4 linked regions of the Lytechinus pictus genome follow. The protein of the gene in region 1 purifies or fractionates together with the protein of each later gene. This does not show direct contact. Links are inferred from orthologs where the notes say so. Each region holds a gene or a part of one and is shown on either strand. Other genes may lie near its edges. The genes, in order: ubiquitin thioesterase zranb1-like, CTTNBP2 N-terminal-like protein, E3 ubiquitin-protein ligase HECTD1-like and GRIP and coiled-coil domain-containing protein 2-like.

The links.
Region 2: the proteins of ubiquitin thioesterase zranb1-like (region 1) and CTTNBP2 N-terminal-like protein purify together in Homo sapiens (affinity purification with mass spectrometry; 4 studies listed by BioGRID and IntAct, with this or other methods). This does not show direct contact. The link is inferred for Lytechinus pictus from reciprocal best matches to the Homo sapiens genes ZRANB1 and CTTNBP2NL.
Region 3: the proteins of ubiquitin thioesterase zranb1-like (region 1) and E3 ubiquitin-protein ligase HECTD1-like purify together in Homo sapiens (affinity purification with mass spectrometry; 5 studies listed by BioGRID and IntAct, with this or other methods). This does not show direct contact. The link is inferred for Lytechinus pictus from reciprocal best matches to the Homo sapiens genes ZRANB1 and HECTD1.
Region 4: the proteins of ubiquitin thioesterase zranb1-like (region 1) and GRIP and coiled-coil domain-containing protein 2-like purify together in Homo sapiens (affinity purification with mass spectrometry; 3 studies listed by BioGRID and IntAct, with this or other methods). This does not show direct contact. The link is inferred for Lytechinus pictus from reciprocal best matches to the Homo sapiens genes ZRANB1 and GCC2.

Annotation. Positions count from the first base shown.
Region 1 is NC_087256.1:1,015,458-1,022,650, reverse strand, and holds the start of ubiquitin thioesterase zranb1-like, read left to right. Parts: upstream 1-4,184; 5' UTR 4,185-4,278; intron 4,279-7,193. UniProt on the Homo sapiens protein: Ubiquitin thioesterase, which specifically hydrolyzes 'Lys-29'-linked and 'Lys-33'-linked diubiquitin. Also cleaves 'Lys-63'-linked chains, but with 40-fold less efficiency compared to 'Lys-29'-linked ones.
Region 2 is NC_087247.1:2,833,119-2,840,241, reverse strand, and holds the start of CTTNBP2 N-terminal-like protein, read left to right. Parts: upstream 1-4,117; 5' UTR 4,118-4,142; coding exon 4,143-4,232; intron 4,233-7,123. UniProt on the Homo sapiens protein: Regulates lamellipodial actin dynamics in a CTTN-dependent manner. Associates with core striatin-interacting phosphatase and kinase (STRIPAK) complex to form CTTNBP2NL-STRIPAK complexes.
Region 3 is NC_087251.1:34,599,214-34,606,413, reverse strand, and holds the start of E3 ubiquitin-protein ligase HECTD1-like, read left to right. Parts: upstream 1-4,176; 5' UTR 4,177-6,510; intron 6,511-7,200. UniProt on the Homo sapiens protein: E3 ubiquitin-protein ligase which accepts ubiquitin from an E2 ubiquitin-conjugating enzyme in the form of a thioester and then directly transfers the ubiquitin to targeted substrates.
Region 4 is NC_087260.1:21,965,651-21,972,956, reverse strand, and holds the start of GRIP and coiled-coil domain-containing protein 2-like, read left to right. Parts: upstream 1-4,279; 5' UTR 4,280-4,356; intron 4,357-7,306. Other genes in the region: uncharacterized protein LOC129279614, read right to left, coding at 550-708, 2,208-2,321, 3,685-4,011. UniProt on the Homo sapiens protein: Golgin which probably tethers transport vesicles to the trans-Golgi network (TGN) and regulates vesicular transport between the endosomes and the Golgi.

The sequences.
Region 1 (7,193 bases):
CATGCTAAAAATCACAATCATATGGTCATTTTTACGTTTTTGTACAAGGTTTTGGAAAAAAGTGGGGGGGGGGGGGGCTGAAGCCCCCAGCCCCCCCCCCCCGCTTCCGCGGCCCCTGTAAAGATATATCCAGATTTCTGCAATATTACGTTCATAAAAAACCACTGTTCCCTGTGTTGCAGCTGTGAGTGTGGACTTTCGGACAGTCAAATGCACGCCGACTAACCATTATGCTTTTGCCTCCCCCTAGCTAGGTTAAAATTCATGGTGCCACCACTGCCCTGGACCCGATCCACATAGCATTAATTGGCCCCCAAATAAAGTTCTACAACCGAGAAAAAAAGATGAAAGGAATTAAAAGGAAGATGTAAGATATGATGTTATTTTCTGAATACTCCTTGTAAAAATCAATCTCAGACTTGTCAGGAAAATGTGATTTTTTCTTGCTCGCTTCGCTCGCTCAAGACTTATTTTAATCTTTTTGCCGCGTGCGCCATATGCTATGCCCCTATATATCACGCATTGAGCTTCAACCTATAATGCTCGGGTACAATCATAAAAAATCCTGTTACCATGATATGGGAAATTGGCTCTTGCCCCCTCCCCCTGGCCACCGACCCCTGTTACGCCCTGGCCCTGAGAATATTCATGATGACGTGCATTATCTGCATATAAATAATATCACAAAATATTGCTTAAAGGGATGGTCCAGGCTGGAGATATTTATATCTCAATAAATAAAGAGTAAAATTCACAAAGCAAAATGCCGAAAATTTTATCAAAATCGCAGCCATAACAAATAACAAAGTTATTGAATTTTAAAGATTTGCATTATATTCCGGTGAAACAGTTCTAGGCATGTCTTTATGAATATATTAGGTAAGCTCAGGGGCGGAAATCTCTCCCAAATAGTAGGGGGACACAGGGGCGGATCCAGCCTTCGCCAATAGAGGGGGGGGGGCGGAAATTTGTTTCAGCCATATTTTCCCCGATCGGCAGCTCGAAGATGATTTTTGTTTGTTTCTTTGAAGGGGTAGTCCTCATTATTCACTTCTTAGCATTCTTATAAATTAATATATAATATCATAATCCTTATTTATATGATGCGAGCGCGAAGCGCAAGCTAATTTTTTTGGGAAATTTTATGTATGTTTCCTAAAATTTGAACTGATTCTGGGCAATGTTTGTTATCCTGAAAAAGATGTGCATACAACCTAATAATTACTACGAACGCAAAGCGCGAGCAGAAATGAATTGATGGAAAAGATACCGGTTAAAGTAGCATTTACCAATCAAATAATAATAAATTTTTTGACATTTTCACCTAAAGAATGGAAATTCTAAGCACTTTTTGTAACTCAGGCAGAATAACTATATAAGTAAACAATTAATGCGAAGCGCGAGCGGAAAATGTTGAGATTTAATCCTATATAATATTTACTGAACGGGACACTCTATTCATGTTTTGTAAATCCTGGAAAGGATGAATATTGATAATGCGAGCGCAAAGCGCGAGCAGAAAATTTGTATATAAGTTTTGAACTGGTACCTGTTAAGGACTGCTTGCACTTAGCCATGAAGGCGTTACATATTTCAACAATCAAAAAATGCGAGCGCGAAGCGCGAGCTGAAAAAATTTGAATTTTCTAAAGATAGAATGGAAATTTTTATAATCAGTTTTTGCAATCGTGAACAGGATAGCTATATAACTTAACGATTAATGCGAGCGCGAAGCGCGAGCAGAAAATAAAATCGAGATTTAGACCTAAGAATGGGCCACTTTGTTCATGTTTTGTAAATCATCAAAAGGATGAGTAATATGGGGTCTTCCTACATAAATAATGCGAGCACAAAGAGCGAGCAGAAAAATTTTGATATTGTGATCTGAAACTGGATAATGATTTAAATTAGAGAACAAGTTGAGAATCTGAATAAACATGAGCGAGCGTGTTTCATATTTAGACCAATAGAATCTAGACATTCTAAATACAACTTTAATCATGAAAATCATGAAACTTTGATATTCCGATCTGAAAAAAGAGTAAATTTCAGCTTTATATTTCAAGCACTTTGAAGAAAAATTGTAAGGTGGATATGGATCGCACTTAAAAAAGAGCTGATATTATTATTACTTTGAGTTTTGACATAGGACCGGGACATCCTTACGACATGTCATCATATGAAAATGATGACTATCTTCCTATTCCTCTTGCTAAGCGCGAAATGAAACAAAAGGGACAATTGAATTAGTAAATTAATATCATATTTATTAATGCCTAATGAGGGCGCGAAATCTGATATCATGGCATAAAAACTAGACATTTCACTTTTGTGATTATATTTTTTACCATTAATGCGAGCGCAAATCGCGAGCTAATTTTTTTGATAAACTGTCATGAAAAGGGAATTTTAAGTAGTTTGTTATAATCAATATTGAAACATTTATATAAGTCGCCAATCAAAATACGAGCGTGCAGCGTGCTAGCTGATACGTCTTGACAATCAGACCTGAAAAGGGATATTTTAAAAACTTTATGGAGTACACGAAAATAGTACCTGATAAACCAAAATTTCCGAGCGCGCAGCGCAAGCAGCAAATGTTAACATTCAGACCATAAAACTGACATTTTTACAGAGCACTTTTTAAAAACCAATTCATAAATTACACAAAATAATGAAAGTTCGATTTCCGAGGTGAAATATGTTTTGTATGTTGACTTCCAAACTTGATATTCGAACTCCATATTGAGCAAGATATGTAAATCACCTAACAGGCAATGCGAGCGCGAAGCGCGAGCTCAAATTTTATATAGTGGCACGAAAGATTCTTTTTATTTTCCAAGTCTTCCCCTAATCTTATTTTATGCACTCGTCGTCCTTCTCTTCTTTTTCTCCTCTCTTTTCCCTCCTTTTTCCTTCTTTCTTTCCCTTTTTTCTTTTTTTTTTGCTCCGCCAAGGGGGGGGGGGGGGGGGGAGGGAGGGGCGGGCCCCTCGGCCCCCTGGATCCGCCTATGGAGACAAGGGGCGGGAAAATTTGACAAGCAAATAGAAAGGTTATCAGCGCCAAAGTAAGGTCATCTCGTCCCAAAATTCATGTTTTTTTCGATTTAGAATGATGTATTTCTTACCATCATAAAAGACCAAAAATAGTAGGGGGGACATTTGATATTGTGTCCCCCCCTACTATTTTGAGTAGGGGGGACACGTCCCCCCTGTCCCCCCTGGGATTTCCGCCCATGGGTAAGCTGATGAAGTCATATCCCCACTTGTTCTTGTGTATTTTATTATATGAAATTAGGTTATTCAAAAAATTTCAAGCAAGAACTAAACAATATATGATTGAAAACTGATTAGTGCATTAGTTATTTATTGCCGCAACTTATTTCATCATAATGGAGAGACATCATTTACACATGTATGAAATAATGAAACATTTATGATTTTATGTAACAACATAAGAATAGGGAAAGTGGGGATGTGACATCATCAGCCCACCCAATGAATATTCATGACGCTGTGCCCGGCGATGTGCCTGTTTTCACAAAATATTGATAAAATTATTTAAAATTCAATAACTTCGTTATTTGTGATCCAATTTCGATGAAATTTTCAGCATATTGCTTTGTGATTTGTTATTTAGATATAGATATTTTCAGCCTGGGCCATTCCTTTGACTTTCAAATTCAATAACTTCGCTCTTAGTTATCTGATTTATAGGAAAGTTTTAGCCTTTCGCTCTATGAATTTTACTCTATTTATTTAGACATAAATATTTTCAGTCCTACCCCTCTAATGAATGTTTCGTGATTATGCTCGAGCAATTGACCTAGAAATATGACAGCTGTTTTGATAATATTTATGATGACGAAAATAGTCAAATTGACTGGTTGCCAAATAAAAAGAAGAACCCCCCTGACGTAACTAGTTTGGCTGCGCTGCTGTGTTTTGCTTGGGTGGCATTCTACGTATTTTTAATTCAGTGGTGACCGACGTGCTGAGCTATGCCCTGTGTTGAGACAATAACAAAATTCCTGCAAGTCAAGTTTATAGGATTATTACTCTCAAAACACATCATATTTTTTTTAAGGAGAATTCTGATTTTTCAATTAGGTTTTTATTTTTTTATACATCTCTATGAATATTTATAAACAAAATCTCATTTTTCTGGGGGCAATTTCTGGGTTACATAAATCGGCAACATTTAAAAGGAAAGAAAAAACAACACAGAATGAGCAACAGAATATCTAATGAATTTCGGGATTTTGGGCTCATATACAGGTAAATACTTTATGTATGTTGAAAAAAATATGTTAAAAGTTATTTTCAAACTGTAAAAAATATAATTTGGTGGGAGAGTGAATGGTTGATGGGCCTGCTTTTTGTGCCTGTAAATATAATAATTTCGCACTGCACTGCACACCGGGGTCTGCACAACAGATTCGGTAGCCTGGACCTGGTACGGTAGGTATGGTACCGTAATTATTGTGTGAATCAATGTGATGTGGCTACTGGCCGTTGCTTGTGCTTTTCTCGCGCTCGCTTTACCTACTTATCAATGTTTGTCTCTGTGTTTTTACGCTGCTGCTGTGTTGTGCTGGGCAAGAGGCGCTAATGCAATTTCGCACCGGTCGATTACCAGCATACCGGTACTTATTACGGATATTACATGTAATGTATCTCACCACCACTCCAGTAACTCACTGTTCACAAATGTATGTCAGTAGAGGCACACGGCCAATAGGCAATATTGGAGACTGTCTCCAAGTCCAATGTGGGAGATTATCTCCAATATCAGAGACTTTTTTAAAGAATTTGGGTATCCAATTTCAGAGACAGTCTCCAGTTTTGGAGACCAATTTTCTTTGTTTACATTTGCTGCAAAAGGATTACCTTGGCGGCAAATAAAAATGTGATAAGCAGATTCCTCATGAAAAATTACCCCTTTTCACCGTCTACTTTAAAAATTCACCGTCTACTTTTGTTTTGATAAGGATTTTTGTTGTCAATCACACACAAAACAAATGGGCTTCTGACCTCATCGAGACAAAATTTTGGGTGGAAAAAATTGTGCTTTTGTTGGTGTTGTTTCTTTTGTCGTTTTGCAAAGCTCTAATGTGGGAGATTGTCTCCCCTATTGGAGAGAGTCTCCCATATTGGCCGTGTGCCTCTACTGTATGTAGCAAGTCTCTCAGTCTCGGTCACATTTTGAGGTCAATATACCCACCGCTTTTCCAAATATCGCGATCAGGAACGGCTGCATTTTGGCTTCGCTCTTGACATCATCGTGCGAATCCTCACTCAGTCATGCATCGCTTCGCTTGGATTCGCCGTGCACCATATTCATATGGACTGAAGTTAATTAGCATTGAATAGCAACCAAATCATGCTAACAAAACAGTAACATGCTGCATTAGCAAACAAACTGCCGGCATGCCGCAGGCGATTCTTGGTCGCTAATTCAGTAGTGACAGATCGTACCGACTGCTTTTCCTAATATCGCGATCGGTAACGCCAACACCGCTTCACTTGGCTTCGCTGCTCGCCGTAATAAAATGTTGATCTGTCACTAAGTACTACTGAATTAGCGACCAAGACTCGCCTGCGGAATGCCGGCAGTTTGTTTTTGCTAATGCAGCATGTTCGCATGATTTGGTTGCTTCAGTCCATATGAATATGGTGCACGGCAAATCCAAGCGAAGCAATGCATGACTGAGGATTCGCACGACGATGTCAAGAGCGAAGCCAAAATGCAGCCGTTCCTGATCGCGATATTTGGAAAAGCGGTGGGTATATTGACCTCAAAATGTGACTGAGAGACTTGCTAGGACATTAGTGAACAGTTACTGGTGATGAGGTATGCTGGTAATCGACCGGTGCGAAACTGCATTAGCGCCAGGCAAAAGCCTAGCCCTAGGCCTAAGAAAGGTCCTGGATCTGGATAGGGTCAAGAATTGAGGAGGGGCACTCATTCAGTGAACAAGGTATATGATATAACCTTGTTCTCAGTATAACTTTAATCTCCATGTGTGGCAAAATAAGAGTGGCAATGTTTGGCTTATTTTCTCTTTTTCTTTGGGACAAATGCTTGATTTTTTTATGCTGACAGTTTCCCTTACACCTATTCGTCATACAACTTGGCTCTTAAGTAAATTTGATTCTTTAAATTATTTTTTTCGTAATTAAAAATAGAGATAAAAAAATGAAAATTTTCTTGCCATATGGTATCACAGGCCTAAATCATTCCCCATAGACTCGTGTGTTAAATTGGCACTTAAAAAAATTCATAAAAAATAAGGGTGAAATTCGGGGGTCGAATGTTTACTACCAGTGGATAGGATATATATCTGGCAATCCATATCTGACCAGAAAAGGGTCCCTCGACCGGCTCATTTTAAAAATAAATTGGCGTGTTTGAAGACACCGTCGGGGGGAGCAGATTGATCACCTCAAACAGCAAAATAGCCCTAATCCTTCCGCCAGTCAAAATATAGTCCAACATTGGTGATATTTCTTCCCAATTTGGGAAAAGGAAGTTCAATAATTACCAAAAATAGAATCAGTGTTAGATGGACAATCATATGCATACACTTTGTTAATCAGCCATATCAAAATAAAAAAAATAGCAATGGGTTGGCTCGAATGAATATCTATGGCCTGCCTCTAGTGATTAGGCCCGTGAAGCCTGTATTGTAGGGCACATGAAGGTTTCTTTTTAATTTACCTTCCTGGCTTTTCTTTAACATCTGTACACTCACTTTATCACAAAGAAATGCATGAAATATACAGATGTGTTATGTAATGACCAATTTTAATGTTACTCCTAATGTCTAGTGCCCTATGGATTTACACACATCCTACCTGCCTATATGTAGCTCAACAATGGATGCAATGTAGGGCCCAAATCGTATAATGCAAATTGTAGATATGAATAGTGTGCATATCTGGATTCAAGATCTGCCCACAATATAAATACCAGATTCACATGAGTTAAATTAGATAACAATAAAAAGAAATGAGAATCAACATACAAGCATACTATACATTCACATCTTCCTATGACAAGGGCCCAAGCCAAGGGATGTAAGAGAGAGAGACAGGGAGAGAGGGGGGTTAGATGGCTTGTATCCTAAATGGATGGGGGCTAGTCTGGCTAGAAGTCAGTAAAAGTTGAACAAGATAGCAGTAGCACTCAT
Region 2 (7,123 bases), on another chromosome or scaffold:
ACCCATTTCGTCATCAAGACATGTGAGCGTCTTTTTTCTCTTTCCAGCTGGCTCAGCAGTAAGATTTTCATCCTCCTCCTGTACCCCCTCCTTTTCCTCCTCTACCACCACCATAACCCGCCGGCCTAAGAGGGGTAGCTTGGGCAGCTTTCCCTTTTCTGGTCCTTTTTGTGGGAGGTATGTTTGAAAACGCCGTGGTATCGCCTCGTAATCAGTTGCAAATATGATAATCCGCCACCATCGGCACAGCGTTTTATAGCAGCGCGGACGGTTGTTGCGCAATCGCTGCCCAGTCATCAGCAGCGCAGCAAAAGTGCAACGCGAACGCCTGTAGCGGGCTGAGAACGTGTGCCACTTGCCACCCAAAGAAGAAAGCGTCGTGGTGGAAGCTGTGTGAAGCGTGTCAAGCGCAAGTCAGTCGCCTTGTAAACGGAAGCAGGGTAGCAGAATTGTCTTGGGAACGGGCCTGAAAACCACGGGCGATCGGTGCCGCTTTTAATGCGCTTATACTACGCTTTATGCGTTGGGGCTCCGTTACAGCTACGAATATGTCGTTTGTAATACGCTCATGACTCGATTGTGATGCGCTTTAGCACCTCCGCGATCTCGCTACGTAAGTTTTGAACATGTTCAAAATTTTGTGGCGACCAGGAAGATGGTGGCGATCCTTGCCGCTTCAGAAAAGATCAAGGTACGACGGAGAAGATTGAAAAGATCAAGGCACGATCAAGCTACGTTATACCACGCTTTGTCGATTTTTGACGATCGCAGTGGAATCGCCATCTAGTGAGATGGGGGTATAAAGTGATGGATCCAGGATTTATCCCCAAAAGAGTCTTGATAGACCCCATACATTGTAAGTCAGATATCCCATTAGATAGACAGTAAAAGGCCACGAGACAGACACTAGGCTAATACCCTTTTTACACAGGATTTTCTTAACCCCGGACTATCGCTAACCCCGTACTATCCTTAACCCCGTACTATGTTTTTTTCCTTTTCACACATGCCAAATTGTTATCGCTAACCCCGGATAAGGAATGCTTGCTTTTCACACACGAAACTCGCTAACCCCGGACTAGTGGTTTTTGTCGATCATTCGTAGTACAAGTACTTCACTCGTACCTTTTTACACACGCTAAAATTTCCTTAACCCCGTACTATATAGTACGGGGTTAAGCTTAGCCCACTTTCGTTTTACACTAGCGATCTTAACCCCAGCGATCTTAACCCCGTACTATCGCTCTTAGCACCGCAATTGCTGGGATAACCCTGCTTTTTTGCAAGGCCAAATAATCCCGTACTAAAGGTGGGGTTAGCCCACTTTGCAAAAATGCTGTGTAAAAAGAAAGTGGGCTAAGCTTAACCCCGTACTATAGGTGGGGCTAAATTGCCATTTAGCCCCACCTATAGTACGGGGTTAAGGAAATTTTAGCCTGTGTAAAAAGGGTATAATATAATCATGGTTTACTTTGTGATTGACATTGTACACTGTGAAAGGGCACACAGTCGTGGAATATCAAATTTCATTAGGGAACCTGTAGTGTATGACTCATAAAACAAACACTTCAATAGAGAAAGGGTTCTTGTCCAACAAAGATGGGGGTAGATTTTATGGAGTAATATATCTAAAGCCACCTAGCTAGTCTTTAACACCTTAGCTGTATAAGGAAATAGGATTGTAAATTTGATTTGATAGGAAGGTGTCAAAGACTTCACACGTTTACATTTAATGAGACACTCAAGTCAACTACATACATGTATGTACATGTATATACTATAGGCCTAATTTTCCATGGTCCAACTTCCCTGGTTCAGGCTGCATTAAAACATATATGATGTAGGCCTAAATTTATAGGTGGTTTTCGACCTGGCCTATGTCAATGTTTCCCCATCCATGTTCATTGTATCGATGGGATAGTACTGAATGCAGGCATACATATACAAGTGTAATGCTGATGTTTTTTCGTATACATACATGTAGGGGCTGAGTCCAAACGTTTAAACAGCGTTTAAACGACTGTTAGCATTAACATTTATATGTTTTCTATTTTGAAAACCATTAGACTCTATGAAAAAAAGCCATCACAAAAGTTGATGAAATTTCACATTTTACATTTTAACATCCATTAAATGCCCATCTATATTCCACATTTTCTTAAAATAGATGGAAACTATCAATAAGAATATTCCCTTCTTTCTTCATTCGTAAGATCGTTCTTAGTTGATGCCACTCTCGATCATCCTACATGAAAGTCCATACATGTGGGACTACAATATGTACAATATAAATAGAATTTCATCATGTTCAAAGCTTCATTACCATCAAACTGGCATGAGTGATGTGAATGAATTAGCTCTAATGTCCTTTTATGCAGGAGAATTGAACTAGTATTTGGGCCTATTCCCCATGGTATTCTGCAGGGCAGATCCAAGATTTCCTTTATATAGGAGGGGGGGGGGGGGAGGTCCATATTTTGTCAACTGTCAAAGTCCTGTAATTACAAAGAATTTCATATCCCAGATTTTAATTGACCATAAATGAAATGTCCCAAAACAGATTTGATATAATAGGCCTGTACAGCAATTATCATTCTGATTCATCTTTTTGCAATGAATTATTTGTTTTAATAGACCATTTTTTTTTATTACCGTACCAGTAGTTATTCATTCTTACTCTTTTCATTGTCTGTATATGCATACTGACTTAGGAATGCTGTTGCTAGAGTGACAAATCACTCGATATGGATCATATGACTCATTAAAATGCATCATCTTTTTTTACAATTCTGCTCGTGCAATATTCGCTGCAAGATATGGGCATAATTTCTTTTTTCTTTGTTGAATGTTGGTGCTGAATATATGAGATTATAGATCTCTAGTGTCCCCATTTATGTGTGTGTGTTTGTGACTCATTTCATTGTAAGGGGGATTCCGTTCGTAGGCAAGGAGCAGTCATAAGGGTTGGAACGGGAAATCTCAGGATTTATGATGGTATTTAGAATGCAGCTGATGAGGTCATTTTGTGAAATCCAGGGAATCTTAATTTTTCAGCTACACGTGCTGCAGCAGGAGCAACAACAGAAACATATTGTACACTGAAAAACATTTTGTGTACAGTCTGGAAAAAAGCGTACCGTACACCCAAACTTGATTTGTTTACCTCTGTATACAGTGTTATTGATCGAATGCAAGAAATGCAGAAGAGCTCTTTAAAAAATTGTCAGTGAAAAGTCACTGATGATTTGTTTCACAATATGCTGCCCTGATTAAGAGTCTTGAGACTAGTGATGACTTTGCACAGTGCCTTGCAGCACGTTTGAAAGACTGGTGCGTCGCAATTGCATCATGACTGATTCAGTCACTGTGTGTACGTTTGTCCAGTGTGTGTAGGGCAAAGGATCTTTGTCCAAATTTGTGATTCGAAAAACTTCTGTGGACCTCTTTGATGATCAGCTCACCTTGGGTCATGCAGATCTTGATCTTGTTTGGATTTTATGATGACAACAGTTCATGATAATTTCTCTCTGTGATTTTAGTGTACTCTAATCTGGGCACCTTTTCCTTGTATTAATATTCATGCAGCTATTACATCAATAGGATTTCTGGTTGACTGGTTGTCAGCATATTGGAATGGATTGAATAGAATATCTTGTGTATACATGTAGATGATGAATTGAGCTGGTCATTCAAAAAAACTTAGAAGGTTCCTTTTTATCTACTCAGTTGATAAACATGTTTGGTTTTCATCTTTCCATGAAAAGATTGTGTGGTTGGTTTACCAGCATATCACCCTTTTTGATACTCTGCACACCTTGTTTGGATGACTAATGAAATGTCTAGGTACCCACAGTAGCTCAGTTCTTGACATAAACAAAGGAGATTCTCTTTTCCATGCATCTCCTTGACGTAATCATACAGGGGAAGAATATTTCATTGTTGGATTCCTACATGAACCTGTACGCCTGGTAAAGTGAGTCTTTGCTGAATAATAATGTATTTGTTAGTATTGTATGATTTGTATCAAGCCGATTGGATTTTTCCCGAGGTTTCATACATTTTCTTAATGTTGTCATTCCTTTCTCACCTTTTTCTTCTTTCTTGTCTTTCCTTTTCAGAAGCATCAGAAAGAGAAGGGGATCATGGAGTTCTCCAAGGCTGACTTGATGAAGCTTCTAGGGTTACTGGAGGCAGAACTCCAAGCCAGGGACTTGGTCATCAACAGCCTGAAGGTGAGTGAAAATTTCAATGTCAAGTTGTCCAGATCAATGCTATGGCTTTAATAATTGCAGGATCCTTTCACATTTTCTCTGTAGACTACATAAATATATGCGTGCATGTTCTGATTCCAAGTGAGTTGTCTCACTGCAATAGTTCTTAAAGTTTTTCATCAACTTTTATTGTCTGACAAATTTCAGTGATTTTGATTGGCTGAGAAGCACAGGTGTCTGACTGTTACTACGCCTTCATCTTTTTTTTATTGAAACACATCCCTGATGTTGCTAGATCAGGGCATTCTTTGTGAAAATATTGTCAGCATATGAAATTTACAAGTTAAATTTGAATTTATAGTGTGTAGGCCTACACTTTCTCACTGTTAGGGGGAAGAATTTCTTTGGGCTTTTCTTCACTCTTATTGTTTTCAACATTTTCTTTAGCATTTAATAATTCCCTTGGAAATCTCGACGGAGTAGCTGCTCCTACAGAGGCATGAATGGGGGGGGGGGGGGAAGCATTGGAAATTAGCCCTATAGAACCTTTAAATTTTGCAAAAGTACTATTAAACATACATTAATGTCAAGTTTTCAGAGTGCTTGGTGTGCAAAATTCTGTATCATAATTTTGTGCACAGCATGTGCCAAAAATTGTTGGCCTTTTTCACTTTTGCCCCCCCCCCTCTATAATTGTGAAACATGGAACAATGCCCCTGCCCTCCCAACCAAAATAAATATTTTCTTGTCACTGAGTTTCAAGTATCAAAACCATTGAGTTTGGTATTGCTAAGTGAAAAATGGGAAGAAAAATTTGCTGGGAACAGCCTTACAATATGCAACTGCACATTTTAAAGTGTGTTCGCCTCGACCCGTATGGACTAGCATTCTAATAGAGTCAAAAGACATGTCTTAATGCCAAGTGTCAATTACAATCATAATGCTGCAGCTGGTGTTGTTTGAAACTAAGACACCGGTGCCTTTTGCGCTATGTCATTAACACCTCTATCAAGCAACAACTGTCATTTCCAACTTGTCCTGTTTATACCACTGCATTCAGGAAACCAATATTGATCTAAGCGCAATAACCTTTACCTTCTAGCATCTTCAGCAGGCGCATTCAGATCACCTTGAAGTCGGGGAATACCAAGTCTTTGCATTATGAAAGCAAATTTCTAACTTTCTCAAGCCAATGTGTAGTTGGGCTTGGGCGCCATAGGTGGCTGCTGAGCTAGTGAATTTGAATAACACACTTAAAGCCTTTACATGTACCTGTTAATCAGACCATCTTGCGCATGCTCGTTACGTCGAGAACTTAGCCTGAATGGGTCTGTTTCGGGTAGGTATGAATGAGGGCTATAATCATCAGTTATTTTTTAGCCTGAAAAAGTTCTCGTAATTTAACAGATATTCTGGTCCTCGAGGCAGTCTGAATGCACCTAGTGTAGATTAGATGTTTCCAGAATCTAGCCTTGATGTTTGGTTGATATCGTTCTTGGCAAACCTTTGGTAGTACAGCAGCGCTATCAAATGTCAATTAGCAGAAATCTAAAAACAGTTATTCCTCAAAATGTTATATTAGATATTGACTTTGACTATCTGCTTTTCAGCTTTTTGGGGTATTCTGTGAGGATAAGAACTGCTTTCTTAAGTCACAGTTTTTTTACTGCAATACATTATGGGAGGGAATTATTTTAAACAGCGTATCGAGCATGGCTATCAAGTTGCATACAGTCCCATTCAAAATTGTCACACACTTTGCATATTATTGCTCTCATAATATCACTCATATCATAATCATTGTATAGATATTTTTAAAAATGTGTGATTTCCATAGAGATTTTTGTACAATGTGATAAAAAAGTGATGTTCATTGATTTGAAAAAAATGATCTAATTACATGTACAGTATTTCACCAATCATGCTGTTATACATGTAATTCTATACTGTGATTTCTTCCTCAATGTATTGCTAAACAAGAAACATAAATTATAGTAACTATTGTTGGAACTTGATTCAGAAAGTACAAAGAGTTGTTGTTGTTTTTTATATTGGCATTGGTGTCCATCTCAAATTCTAATACCACATCAAGATATCAATCTCCTGAATTACAAAATTTAATTTACATTTTCTCCATGACATGTACAAAAATTAATTTACATTTGCGACATGTATTACCTGTTTTGATATTCATTATGTACATTTAGGTTAATGCACAGAAACGGCACCAACTAAATAGATTGACATTGATATCAAACATGGTTATAGTTGTGAATCGCCCCCCCCCCCCCCGGACTGAATGAAAAGCTATGCTGGCTGTAAAGCTGTATACTACTTGGTGCCCAGTCTTTGTATATACATGCAGCTCATCATTATATCACAAAAGTTCTTTACAAAAAAATTGTAAGGAATTTAATTATTTTTGAAATATAATTTGTGCATGATAATGGATTATTTTGTTCAAATAATTTGGCTCTGCAAACAAAACAGACCATTTTGATCATTAACAACTGGATTCACCTCAATAAACATTGATTAATAAAGCAACATGCATCACTATTTGAATTATTCGTCTACATGCGAACCATTCTTGAGCTGTATATTTCAGCATCGGTAGGAAATTGTACATCATTATCGCAGTTTTTGCATGATGCAGATAACGCTATTTAAGCGGGCTAAATGAAGGTAGAAGGGAACGGAACATAAACGAGGAAAGATTGGTAGTCTAAGAAATTTGGGAAGCCTTTAGAGATCCCAGCTTCCTTACAAGTCATTAGTCTTCAAGTTTATGGTGATATACCCCATGAAAGTGGGGGATTGACAACTGACAAGGCGGTGCATTCACAAAAAAAAGTTTTGAAGGGCTTGGAGAAAAAAGTGACAGAAAAGGCTGATAAGGAAAATTAGCAGAT
Region 3 (7,200 bases), on another chromosome or scaffold:
TCATCCCCTCATTGTGACAAAGCTTTGTGTCATGATCATGATCGGTCTACTGTACATGTAGTATTGATGCAATGGAGACAACCCAATCCAAATTAAAAAATGCTTGCACTTCATATAGAGTCATAAAATTTTGGTCTACATGTAGCATCTTTATAGGCTTTCATCTAAACAAGCTACAGTACATGTAGTAAAACTTTTTATTTTTGTTATCTTTATTAATCCAAGTTTCTTACATGTATCTCTTGAACCCAGTGAATTAGGCTTTAGCCTACTATTTGCGTAACTTGTGAAAATGATCTTGAGGTTGTGCTTTCTGGGGTTTTGTTTGTCTAGTATTTAAGCACTACTGCACAGGTACCGGTACATGTAAAATGAAAATAATAATCCAAGTGCATGTACATGTACATGTACATGTATGATCACATGTAGTCCTGGTGACTGCTAGTTTTTAACAAAGGAGTTTGTAAGTCAATCAGTACAGTATGTACATGTACATGTACACTGTATTTCTCTAAATGTTTTGTAAACATATGTATACCAATTCATGTTTGTGTTTTGATGCTCAAGAGTGGCTACAGGGATAGGAAAACAAGAGGTTAAGCATATAGGGGTATAATATCTCACACTACCAGGGGGGTTCCAAACAAATAATTCATGAAAATAGATGCTTGGTTTTATTTAAAGAGGAAGTTTGCCTTGAAATTATGTCGGTCCCCAGAAAAAGGAGGAAAATATATTAGCTAACAAACACAATGAACATTTAAATCCATCAAACGCACAAACCCAGTTTTAATTTTGTGATGTCATTTGCTAGCTGTTCCCCCTTATGAATTCTGATTATTTGAATATAATTTCTAATTGATTATAAAAAATGAATACAATTTTCCCCAGTAGCCTGTTGTTGTTTGATGATTTATTTTCATATTCCCATTAAAAACAGGTTATTACTGTATATTGTAGCCCTATATAAAATGCATGCAATCATATACAAATGAAATACATTTAATTTTAAAGATATTACAGAATACCACTACAATGCCTTTCAATTAAAAAAAGAAACAACATACTGTACATATATGTACCAATTTATCGTTGAAAATGAAAAAAGGAAACTAAAATAGGCCCTGTAAAATAAGTTCCCTTATGTATGCCATACAATGAACTAATGAAGTACCGTAAGGGCACTAGTATTCAACCCGTTTGGAGAGTTTCCTCAAATATATAGAAATACAGAATTTACCTGAATTTCAGACCCGTCTTATTTCCAAGAGCAAATGCTGGTTATTCTTTTTCCGTTATTTTTTTCTTCAACCAGTTGACTGTGTGCGCGGGCGATCGAATTATACGGCGACGGATTTTGGTACTAGTATTCAACCCGTCGGCACTAGTATTCAACCTAGCGATGAAAGATGGCCCTGTCTCTCAATCTGCCCTTGTCCCATCCGACTAAGGACTAGACCATTTGAGATGAGACCAAACAGGGAATTAATCAAAGCCAGAGACTTACATAGATCTAGATCTAATTTAGCAATCTAAACCCTTTTGAGATTTGCTATCAATCCTCACTAGGTTGAATACTAGTACCATTCAGTGCAAAAGGCCATCGCCGCATAATTCGATCCTCCGCGCATACAGTCGACAGATTGACAAAGAAAATATCGACAACAGATTACCCTGGAAATAACAAAGGTATGAAATTAAGATAAATTCCCTATTTCTAAATATTTTGGGGAATATGTCAAAATCTTTGAATTATGCCGGGTTGAATACTAGTACCCATACGGCTATTAGTAACTGAAAAACATTGAAAAAAAAACTATGAAGAGATATCAGTCTGTAACATTTGATGCATTAGATTATTCGCAGGGTGAAATCATTTTGACATTTTTTTTATAAATAAGAAAGAAAAAGACAGTTGCCTAGTATTTTCATCTCGCAAGGAACTGTATTAATATTATTTTTTAGAATATTACTTTCATGTCCATTTTGCATTTGTCGATTTTCATTGATTTGTTTGTCTCACTTTATGCTTGTAATAATTATGAGTAAACTAAAGATCTGTACCATTATCATTTATCACAATTATTTATATTAACAACATAGACACGGCATTGCCATCCAAGGACTTAATTCACATTCACATCATGTCCTTGCTGCGGGCATTGAGCGAGTCGCGAGAAGAGAACGGAAGGCAGGCGTCAAATTGCCCTAATAGACATGTTATGATGTGAAAGCAATGGTTAGGCAATTTCTTGCACCCATTTCATACTATACAATGTACAGTACAGGTGTACGCTAAGATTCTTTTTAAGTAGAATATAAACTCAGTACAATATGGATAAGATGATTTTGCACATGACATCATCTCAAGATGTATACGTTCAAAGTTGGCATTCTGATTCTAAATGTCAAAAGAGTTTTCATTTTGTTCTCAGTGCTGGAAATACACTGTACACGTATGTAGCTCAATTTTTACAAAGTCAGGTTTACAAACAAAGCAAACCACAATGTACATAATTTACATTTTACACTGCGCATCATGATGATCATTGTATGATATGTTTTGGATAATTGCCAGGGAGCGATCAGGATTCCTGTGACAAAGTATTCATGTCTGTATGACTCAATCATTAATTGAATTGCAATGTGTCCCAAATGTTCTGACTATCGTATCATAGCAAGGGAATATTCATGCTGAGAAAAACAATGTTTGAAAAGCAAACATGGATGAACAATATACAAATAGCGAATAGGCATGAGTGCGATGGTGCGAGATTTCGCATGAGGTGAAAGAAAGATGCTCTATTCAACGAGGCGTGAGCCGAGTTGAATAGAGCGTTTCTTTCTTTCACCGAATGCGAAATCTCGCACCATTGCACGAATAAGGATATTCGCTATTTGTGTTGTACAACGCCTCGGAATTTAGCGAAAATATGAAAAAACAAAGAGTTTATCCCTATAGTAATCTATGAAAAGGGAGCAAAAATACCGAAAGCAGAAAGCAAAATTCCACAAGCGCACATTACCGTGGGCAGCCTTGCGCATTTAGCCAGCTGGCTTATACGCGTATTGTTCATTTTTACCGAGCGCAATGAATTAAATCGTATTGTGACGTCACCTCCTAAAGCCGTGCAACGGTACATTTTGGACGGTACATTTTGGATGGTACGTCTTTTGTGCAACGGTACGAATGTTTGACATTCAGCCTCCCATTTGCTCGCGTACAACAAGCTAAGTAGGCGTTGTACAATGAAGGATTATACATGTAATTTGTAAAAGAATTTTAACAAAATTTATGTTAGTCACTTTGTCAGTTTTAATATATTTTGGTGTTGATGAACAATATATAATTGTTATCAGTTTTTTTTTAAATAAATACCATTTTACATATATTATGACAATTTGCTCATCATTCTTATTAATATAAAATATGAATAATGATTTTAGAAAATAATAATCTTATCAAAATGAGATTATTTAACTTTAATTGCAAAAGATTGCCAGCAGAATAAATTGTTCCTTTGCTATCAATATTCTTTCACTGTCTCTTAATTCCAGTTATGAAAAAAAAAAAAGAAATACTTATACTGGTACTGTGAACTCATGTTGAGAAACATCTAAGTTTCATAAATTGTAATAAATTGTGAGAAAATGTTGGCCACGGTGTAAACAAATATATCCCGTAATTGGTTGTGAACATCTGTGTACAAAATGTGTCTGGTGGGGGAAATATGCTGAAGGTGCGCCTGCATGGGGGAAAAAATTGTCCATAAATTTCATATGCACTTTATCAGCACGCAGGGAAGTAAATTGGCAATTAGGTGTTGCTGCAGCTGCCACTCTTGCCTCACTTGAAGGCAGTTTCGGTGGAAATATGTGACCTTGAATTTGAAAGCAGAGTGAAAACAACATTTTGAAGACATGTGCTGCACTTGATTTGATTTGAATTCATTCAGACAAATTTTACATATCTTAGATTGCCAAACAAGGTTTAGAAAAAACCCATACAAGTAGGCATCCCACAATATAAAACAAAATACATAATCAATGACATTAGATAGGAATACAAATAGGCAACATATATCAAGGCATATCATATTATAGATTGAAGTTCCAAATGAAAACTACAGTAGGGAGACAACAATTAATTCTTAAAAATACTAAAATTGCATATAAATGATATTTCAAGTGTCTAATTTCAACAAGTGATTGATTGCTACATGTTACTACCAGAAGAAATATAATAATCTGTACTAGCAAATGGAACATTCATCTTATGTAAGTGTGATAATTTCTTCCTATTCTATTTGCTCTGTGACCTACAGTGTTTACTTCTCCTACATTAATCAAGTTGAGTACAATCTTATAATAAAAAAAAACAAGCCGATGGTATTTACATCTTTTTTTAATAAGTTCATATTAATTTGTTTTAATAACACATAACTTGAAGTCCAGTCTTTGGACATTATCTTTACGTAATGCTTTTGGATGCGTTCAGTCATGTCTTTGTATTTATTCTGTGGGGATCCCATACATGATTCTAAGTTATGTGAACGAATGTTTAAAAAAGACTTTGAAATGGATATTGGGCAATTAACAACATTCCTTCTAATAATTCCCATTATTTTGTTGGATCTTTATATATAATAATGTAAAGCCGTGCATTGGTCATTCCAGTTTTGAGAATCATTTATTATGATGCCTAAATAATTTTCTGATTTTACGTTTGCACATGTATTTATGCGCAAGTATGTTGTCAACTTTCAATGGTTTGGATTGACACTCAGTCAAAATAATGAATTATGGTTTTATTATGGGACTACATGTAGTTCTGTTTTTCATATATTTACATGTACATGTAGGCCTATTTATGTTGATACATGTACATGTACCACAATAATGTTGAGAGAATTTTCAAAACATTTTTAAGGGTAATTTCACCCTGATAAAACTGGAAAAATTTAGAGAAAGATATTGGTGAAGGATTGATGAAAATTAGTGAAAGAAATTGAAACAGACTAAAGATTTTTTTTAATTTGAAATTATGATGTCACAAACGAGCAGCTCTGTATAGCTGTGGATAAATTCCACCAAATTGCATTTTCTCAAAAAAGTCATAATTGATTTCATTTATGCAGTGGATTTATCATCAGACACATGTACACCTGTACCTGTAATGGCATACCCCTGGCTATAAGAAAATAATATTATTCATCATATCTGTTAAATGGAAGTTGTTGCATGAATAATGTACATGTATAGGGAGCTGCTCACATAGGACATAATTTAAAACTTTGAAAATCCATATTAAAACCAACTTATCGCCAGGATGAACTTCCCCTAAACTTAGTTAAATACCACCAATATATTGTCTTCAATATGTACATCAGTACATTGCATGTTAAGGCAGGGGGGGGGGGCTGCTATGTTACTGGAAGATTGTGGATAGAAAATATAAGTGAAGTGCCTTTTGAAAACTACACTGTACAAACTCCTGTTTTTATTCACCAAAAAAAAATTTAACAATAATCCTCTGGTTCTTTACTTACAATATGTTGTACAGTAAAGCCTAACTTTATACATGGCATGAACATTACCAACATCATCTACTGAGTACATGAACATGCACTCTAACAAACTTTTATAACAATCAGAGGAACAGTAGGTACATTATACATGTACATGTAGTAAGCTGTGTATAGAGATGGACATATTTCATTATTGTTTGGGTAAAAGATGTGTGGGTTGAGTCATATACAGTGTAGTTTTCTTTCAGTACTCATATTTACACATCACTGACTGTATTTATCTATTTGTGTGTGTTTGCTCATTCTATATGATACAGATGGTAATAAAAAGCTGCATGTTCCTGGATGAGTAAAACCGTGATGTAAATTATATTAAAATGTTTTTATATGGGCATTGCAAATGTTTGCATGCACATGTATATAATGTATGCGTGCTACATATTCCAAGCATGGTAAAAACAATATTTTATAAAGGCCTATAGTCATAATATTCTACTCATTTGTCACATTTTCATAAGCATTTGATACACTGTAAAAAGAGTGAAAATTCATCTATCAAAACTACCTTCAAAATTGCAGTTATACAGGTAGGACATTGAAAAAAATGATGATGATGATACAAAAGGGCACTTGATACAGCTACATTGTAGGTGTTTCTGTTATAGCGTGCGAACAATATGAACAAGTAACAATATTCCTGTAATGTCATGTGTAAAATATATGTTTTATTTTCTTCTTTTTATTCAGCTGTCCACCTAGAACCTTTCTCCCCGCACTGTGCCGTATATTTCTTGACGAGCATGCTCCGGACAACGTACTGGAAGTCACTGCCCGAGCCATCACCTACTACCTGGATGTCTCAGCGGAGTGCACTCGTAGGATCGTGGCTGTAGATGGCGCTGTTAAGGCCCTTTGCAATCGTCTGGTTGTTGTCGAGCTGTCTTGTCGAACCAGCAAGGATTTAGCTGAACAATGCATTAAGGTAAACGTGCATGTACCTTGAGTAATGGTTTCTTTTATACTAAATTCTTGGTAAATTGCCAATTGGTCTACACCTGTTTTGTCTACTTTCCATTTGGTCTAATCCCACATGGTGTCTACTCCTACATGTAGTTCGTCTACAACTTATTAGTTTACTTACCATTTGATTAATTACCACTTCAAAGCCCATTTAACATTTCTTCTAATGTCCAGTTTAATATACATTACTCATTTCGTATTGGTCTAATACAATATGAACAGATAAACTCTTTCTGAATCAAATTTTCATTTTTTTTTAACAAAGTAAAAACTATAAATGAATAGTGGACATTAGACCAACTGGGCATTAATCTTCTGTAAGATTGAACTAAGTAGACATTAGACCAAGTGCAGTAGACCAAACAGCAATTGGACCAAATTGGTAGTAGACCAAAGGGTTTAGCCTATTTGGTATTAAACTGAACTGAGTACATGTAGTAGACCAAGTTCTTGTAGACCAAGTGAATATAAACCATTTCTTTGTGCCAAACATGCCATCGTGTTATAAAGTCATGGGGGACTTTCATGATGGAAAATTAATCTTGATTGCCAGAGGCATTATGAAGGAGGGGCACCTTGGCAGAGAGCTTTGAAATCTATAATTTACACAAATCCCCTTATCTTTCCGTAAATAGAAATATGTTTTAGTCCA
Region 4 (7,306 bases), on another chromosome or scaffold:
TATTCGTCATGATAGCACAAATATTCTATAAGATACAGTAAATTTTATGTTTGGTAAGTGTAAACTTTTCTTTGAATTTCCTGGGTGTATGTAAACTTCTAGCCTCAACTGTATATAAAAACTCAATTTTATTTCAAGGACCACAACTCTGGAATTCTATTTCTGTAGACATCAAGCAATTAGTTTCATTAAATGTTTTTAAGTCAAAATCAAGGCAATTTATTTTAAATAGTAATTCATAAAGTTTGTTTGTATAAATTTCATTCAGGCATTATAGGCACCCCCCCCCCCCTTTGTTGTAGTTTAGTGATTTTTTCTATCTTTGTTATTGAAGTATTTGTATAATTATTATGTTATAGGGTCAGCTAATCACAAGGCTTGTTCCTTTCTTGCTGTCCCTATCATATTCAATCCAATGTTTATTTCTATTTGTTGTTGTTGTTTTTTCTATTTTGTGAATATGATACTTTGTATATGTATGTCTTTGTATGGATTTTTATGAGCAAATAAATTGAAATTGAAATTGAATTGAAATTGATATACACTCACTGTTGCCTCTGATCTAAGCAGAAGATGACAGTCCATACCAAGTTGTCTGCTTGCCACAGCTGTTGTTCTGCAGTGATTGGATCTTACCCCACCGCACGTGATCACGGTATCACAACCCTGGCTGACTGCATCTGCCAACAAGAATTCAAGCTTACGAATCTACAGAGAGAAAAGAGGGTAATATATTCAGTACATTGCCTCTTGGTTTACACTAGACAGCTGGCAGCCGTCTGTTTCGAGGAGTTTTTTAACATTTTTATTTTATTTATCCTTGTACACAGACGGCTAGCGATCGTGCAGCTGCCGTTAGGGGATTAACAATGCAAAATCTCCCCGATGGGGCTCATTGATTTTTGTATTTATTTCATAAAATATATAAAAAGAACTAGACAAAAATAAAGATTATTATTCCTTTTTGTCCTGCAATGCACCAAAACGGGGAAAAAGTAAGCTTAAAAGGACAAAAACGGTGATTTACTTTGGCTGTCACGCAACTTCACTTCCTTGGTTTATCCGAACTTAATACATTAAAACATACGGCCATTGAGTCCCTGTACAGATCGAGTTAGAACTTCGGTCTCTGTATTTGGTGAGTGGAGCCAACGGAGTTCAGCGGAACAACCAATTTAACAGAGACCGAAGCTTTTGGTCTAGGTATACACCTGCTATGTCTCCTTTCTGCTTGGTCTCATCTCATATGATCTGGGACCAGTGACACAAAGCTTAGCAATAATTGTAGAACATTTTTCTACGATTGATTCATTTGATTACAATGGACAAGCAATCGTGGAACTCAAGCATACGATTGATCACTAATCTTTGTGTTACAGGACCCAGCTTGTCTACTAACCTATTCGGTCTAACAGCCATTTAGCTTTTTTTTCAATTAGGCTATACCGTTTTGTTTATTTGGACTAACAAACCTAGTCAATATGATAAGATGAACTGTTTTTTAATCAATTTGTTATTTATTAGTAGACAAAATGGAAATACGAACATCTAGGAACTTAGACTAAACAAGAATTAGGCCATTAAAGTGGACATTAGACCAAGTGTACTGTAGTATAATCAAAATGGCAATTAGCCCAAATGGATTTGGCCCAAGTGGTATGAGACTATATTAGAAATAGACCAAGTGAACAATACAATTAACTTCTACTAAAATTCTCATATAAAACATAATCATACTTTACTATAAAAAAACAAACACAAAAAAATGATCTGCATGAATATCATCTCTTTATTACCGGTATGCACATGTCATATACACCATTATGTGCATTTCTATATGAGTAATTGAGTTTATAAGAATAAAACAAATACCCTTTCTAATTTGCTTTAATATTAAATTGAATTTCTTGCAAGTAGAAACCAGTGGCAAAATAATTTAAGGGGGGCTGAATTTTGTTACAGAGACTATTTCTACAAGTAAAAATAAAGTGGGCAAAAAAAATCAGGGTCTTTAAACATTTTTTCTTCACAGATTTGGCCTCGATTTTTAAAATGCAAAATAGTTAATCTTGCAATTTACTCTGAAAGGAAATTCCCTTAAAATCATGAAAAACAAAATAAATTGTTTTGATGAAAATATAATTTTTCAGGATTTTTGGATGCAACTGAAAGGCAAAAAATACCCAATTATATATGTGAGATTTTACCTTATTTCCTGATAAGGAGCTCCCAGTCATGTCATCTCTTTTGATGAATACTTCAAAGTTTGTTGGTGTTCCAGGAAGATGCCATCTATGTATGGGTGTGTTCAGCATGGCAAGCTAATAAAGAAGAAATTTAATAATCTTAGTCTCTAAATCAATAACGTTGTGTTGCGATCTTTCACAAATCATCAATGCAGGCATTGCTTACCGGTACTTAAATCACATTTTCATGAATTTGTAAAAAATTGGTAAACTCTAAAACATACAAGTCGTTTCAAGCAAATTTACAAAAGATATGTCATACATCATACAACTAAACCAAAGAAAAAAAACACTGAAAGTAATGATTCATTATCTCGGAATCCAAATTTAATTTTTTCTTTAATAATTGATCATAAAGTCTGTAAACTTAAAAATGTCCATTTTAGTAGACCAAACTATGGTAAAAAAAATAGAAATGATAATACTGGTCAACCTGATATAAAAATATATATTTTTATTGACTTAAAATGAGCCGAGTCTACTAACAGGAACACTGCATAAGCTGACTAATAATAAATAATCGTTTGCAATAAATTTTTACAATTAAGACTAAGTCTACATCTACCTCAGATCACTCATTCAACAAACAAGGTTATGATATAACCTTGTTCCCTGTTGGCAATGTTTGACTTATTTTTTCTTTTACTTTGGAACAAATGCTTGATTGTTTGACACTGTCAGATTCCATTACAGCTAATCATCGTATAACTTGACTCTTAAGTAGATTTGATTCTTTAATTATTTTTTTCTAAATTAAAAATAGAGATTGAAAAATTACAATTTTCTTGCCATATTACTTTCCACCAATAGAAGGGCATACATAAAAATATGCCCAAAATTCAAGTTTTTGAGCGCTCTGGTGAATACAAAAATTATATTCCCAAGTTACTAATGAAAAATAAATTTCAACTACCGGTATATGGATATTAGTAATTTTGGTCAAAAAAGTGTTATTTTAATGATTTTTAGTGTGTGTTGTGTACTGCATTGGCATACCATTTAAAGTTTTACAATTGAGACTAAGTCTACATCTACCTCAGATATATTATCTTGATTCATGGACCGAAACTTTGTTCTCTCATGTCTCTGTATGGTTGTTTTAGCGAGATATTAACTTCCTACACTACATCACAAAATTAGTATTAAACTTTTTTTCCCATTGAACTCGAAACTTCGATTAAAATTTTGAAAAAAGAAGGAAATATTAGGACAGGTTTTTAAAAGATATTGCTTCAGGACTATTCACTATTTTGTGATGACCTAGGTTAAGTTAGTCGAATCCAACATATTGGCCATCAAAAGAAATATTTTTTTTTTTTAAGAGATAGAATTAGAAGTTAGACTTGTCTTACTTAGACTTAGACTTAAATTTTAAGTACTCTATACTAGTATAAGTCTAAAAAAGACTTGTCTGTTAAAAAAAAGCCCATCATACTACCTCTATTCTTTGCTTTGGAATGTTCTGCATTTTTTCCATCCATGGCGCTGCGGAGTAACTCTTCAGAGGAAAACCATCCATCAGTGCTTCACCTTCCGATGCAAGAAGTTGAGAAGTTGTGAATGTGACTGAATAAGAATTTGATGTTGGTCGCCGAGGTATGCGACAGGTATTCAAATGCGTGGGACCGAGGATTGAAAGTTTGCGTAAAATGTTGTCCCCCTGTGGAAGTGTTCTCCAGAAAGGAACTCTATCGAAAGTTAACAGATAATTCGGAATGAATTTCCAGAATATAAATGGTTGTTTTATTCGTGTTGATAAAATCATCACTGGTCAAAAAGGGGGAAAATCTTAAGATTTCGAAGTAGTGAAAATTTCCTTTAAGATTTTTATGAAGCACCAAACGGTATGCAATGTTTTTTTTAGATAGTTAATGCTTATATCTACAGAATGATGACTCATTCTTTATAATTCAAAATGTAAGACAAAAATATATATCGAAATTTTTTTATATTTGAATCAGCTTATGTAACTGACATTTTTCATTAATTTTATCATCAAATTTTAATATATTTGGAGAAATTTACTTCCGGGAGCTTCCGATTCTTTAGCTTCCCATACAAGGATACAAACAAGAAATTTGGCCACGTAGAAAAGCCTGCAACTTGATGGGTGAGATTGTGTTTTACTTGTCTTTAATTCCATAAATTTCTTATCTACCTTTGATGATTATTGCATATTGTGTTGATGAGAATATTTAGATACATTTTAAATTAGCTGTGTTCGTGTTTTAACCAAACAAGTACGTTTGAAGAGCTGTGTGATGAATGTGTGTTGCTGCGTTGCGCCCGCCACTGCAGCGTTTTGTTGATGTGAGAGTGCAGATGCGATATGCGCTGGCTCCCGCAACTCCCGGCTGGCATGTCGCTCGGGCTTCGCTAATTTCTAACTGTGGCTTTGGAATTGGGCGTGCCTCTAGCCAGGCGGCTTCTTGAGAGTAAAAATCATTTACTAACGTAGGCTTACTCTAAACGAAGCCAGGGAGTCCTTCCTATTCATCTGCGGGCATTATCGTGGTTTATGTCACCAGTCCATTCATTGCCGTTTATTTCGTCAGCGGTGGTGACATCTTTCCACTTCCATTGACTTTGTACACAACGTTCGCACACACACCGACACACACGACAAGAGAGGTGACAAATTTCACGATAAGGCCTCTGCGTGTACCGCAAAAAAACCCTGAAACTTTCGCCCCCGAGATTTCTACTTTCCTTCTAAAAGATCTAGCTCTAAATCATGTACATGGGATAAGTTACGTTACGGACGTGAGCGTCGCGTAACGTTGGGGAAGTACAATAAGAAACAAGATGGCGGCGTAAACATCGGGCAAGTCTCTTCCGTCTTTTCACAATATTTTTTCATTTTTTGATGAATTCTTGTTTAAAAATAACAACGAGAGCGTAGAAATGTCGGAAATGAAGTTTTATCCCATGTACATCATGATTTAGAGCTAGATCTTTTAGAAGGAAAGTAGAAATCTCGGGGGCGAAAGTTTCAGGGTTTTTTGCGGTACACGCAGATGAATAGGAAGGACTCCCTGGCTTTGTTTAGAGTAAGCCAGGGGTGTGAGAGTTCAGATTTTTATCTGATTTCAGATTTTTTTGTTTTGATTTTCAGCTTAATTTCAGCTTATTTTTGGCCTTCCTCTGTACAAAAAGTATGGGAGCTCTTTCTATTTCAGACTTTTTCAACACTCTTCAGCTATTTTCAGATCTTTTTATTTGTGACCACTCACACCCCTGGAGTAAGCCTACGTTAGTAAATGATTTTTACTCTCAAGAAGCCGCCTGGCTACGTGCCTCCAGTTAAACGCTTTCTCAAGTTTCAATGAATTTCCCCATAAGTGCTTGCCAATTCAATTCATCATGTTCATCACAAGTATAAATCATCAGTAGAGGTGCTGGTCCAAAAATTGGGATTGTCCCAGAAAACAAGGATATCCTCATCATAAACCAAGACAAATCATGTCTTTGATAAATTGAGACTGTCCTTGTTTATGGGGACGTTTTTTTTTTCACTTCCCCCTACGGGACAAAGACATCAATTACGGGAATTGAGAGTGCTAAAAATAGATTCAGTGACCTCAATTCCCCCACTGCCCCAGTTCACCATCTATTTTTCATGACTTACAGTCTTCCAATATTCTTGTTATGAAACCTGATCTGTTTACATTGACTAGCGCACTTGATTGGTTTCGGCACTTGACAGGTGAATGAACTTTTCCAGATTTCTTGTGTGGAAAAATCTTTAAACTGGGACGATCCCAATTTTCTAACCAGCGCCTCTACTGGTGATATGAATATATTTACCAGCCAGCGAGGCGCCAGGCCCAGGGCAGGGCTTGACACTAAAATTTTTGGCAAGAGCCAAGACGTAGTCGTAGCGTAGCAAAAGAGCAAAGTCAAGTCAAAATTTCCATATGTACCCCCCACTAGCCAGGAGGCTCCTAGAGAGTAAAAATCATTTACTTACGTGTGCTTACTCTCCATGGAGCCAGGGATTGCGTCCCATTCATGTGCGTGTACTGCGAAAAAAACTGAAATTTTCGCCAAGAGATTAAGATTTCTACTTTCCTTCTTAAAGATCTAGCCCTAGATCATGTAAATGGGATACAACTTCATATCCGACATAATGATATTTTATTTTTCAACAAAAAAATTATTGAAAAAGGGAGAAAAATATTTTGAGAAGACTGGGAAAAAACTTGCCAATGCATACGTCGCCATCTTGTTCTCTTTGTCCTTCGGCAAGCTCCGAGACGCACATCCTCTGAATTCTGATATGCGTCTCGTAGCTTGGCGAAGAACAAAGAGAACAAGATGGCAAACATCTGCAAGGTTTTTCCCCGTCTTCTCAAAATATATTTCTAGTTTTTTTAATGAATTTTTGTTTAAAAATGAAATCAATATCGTATAAATGTCGGAAATGAAGTTGTATCCCATTAATATGATTTAGGGCTAGATCTTTTAGAAGGAAAGTGGAAATCTCGGGGGCGAAAATTTCATTTTTTTTAATGGTATACGAACACGAATGGGATGCAATCCCTGGCTCAGTGGAAAGTAATCACACATTAGTGAATGATTTATACTCTCGAGGAACCTCCTGGCTACCCCCACAAATGGAGAAGGTTCAGATCTAAAGTTAGCCCTAATATAGAACGTATATGATGGGGGAGTGAAAATACATACCAAAATATGGCTTTATTCCGTCAAATTTCAAGCAGGATATAGAGCGTGTAATTGTCCATAAACATCGGTTTATTTAGTCAGTAAAGTGTCTGTGAGTCTAGATTAGTCGAACTATCGTCTGAGAATCGTTAAAATACCCCTTCCTGTATCAGCGCTTCTTGCTAGCATAGCGGGAAGAGGTCTTGACTGCAGATAAAGCGAGGTGAGTTCGAGTCCCAACTGCGGTAGGCAACAGTAAAAAAGTGATAGAAAAATCTGAAGTGAACGAAGCGGAAGTCTCATCAATCTTTTGTTGTTTTTGGTGGGGGTGCATATGGAACTCTTTCCAAATTTTTACCTGTGCATGGTGAGGTGCCGGAGTTCATTTTGGCCGT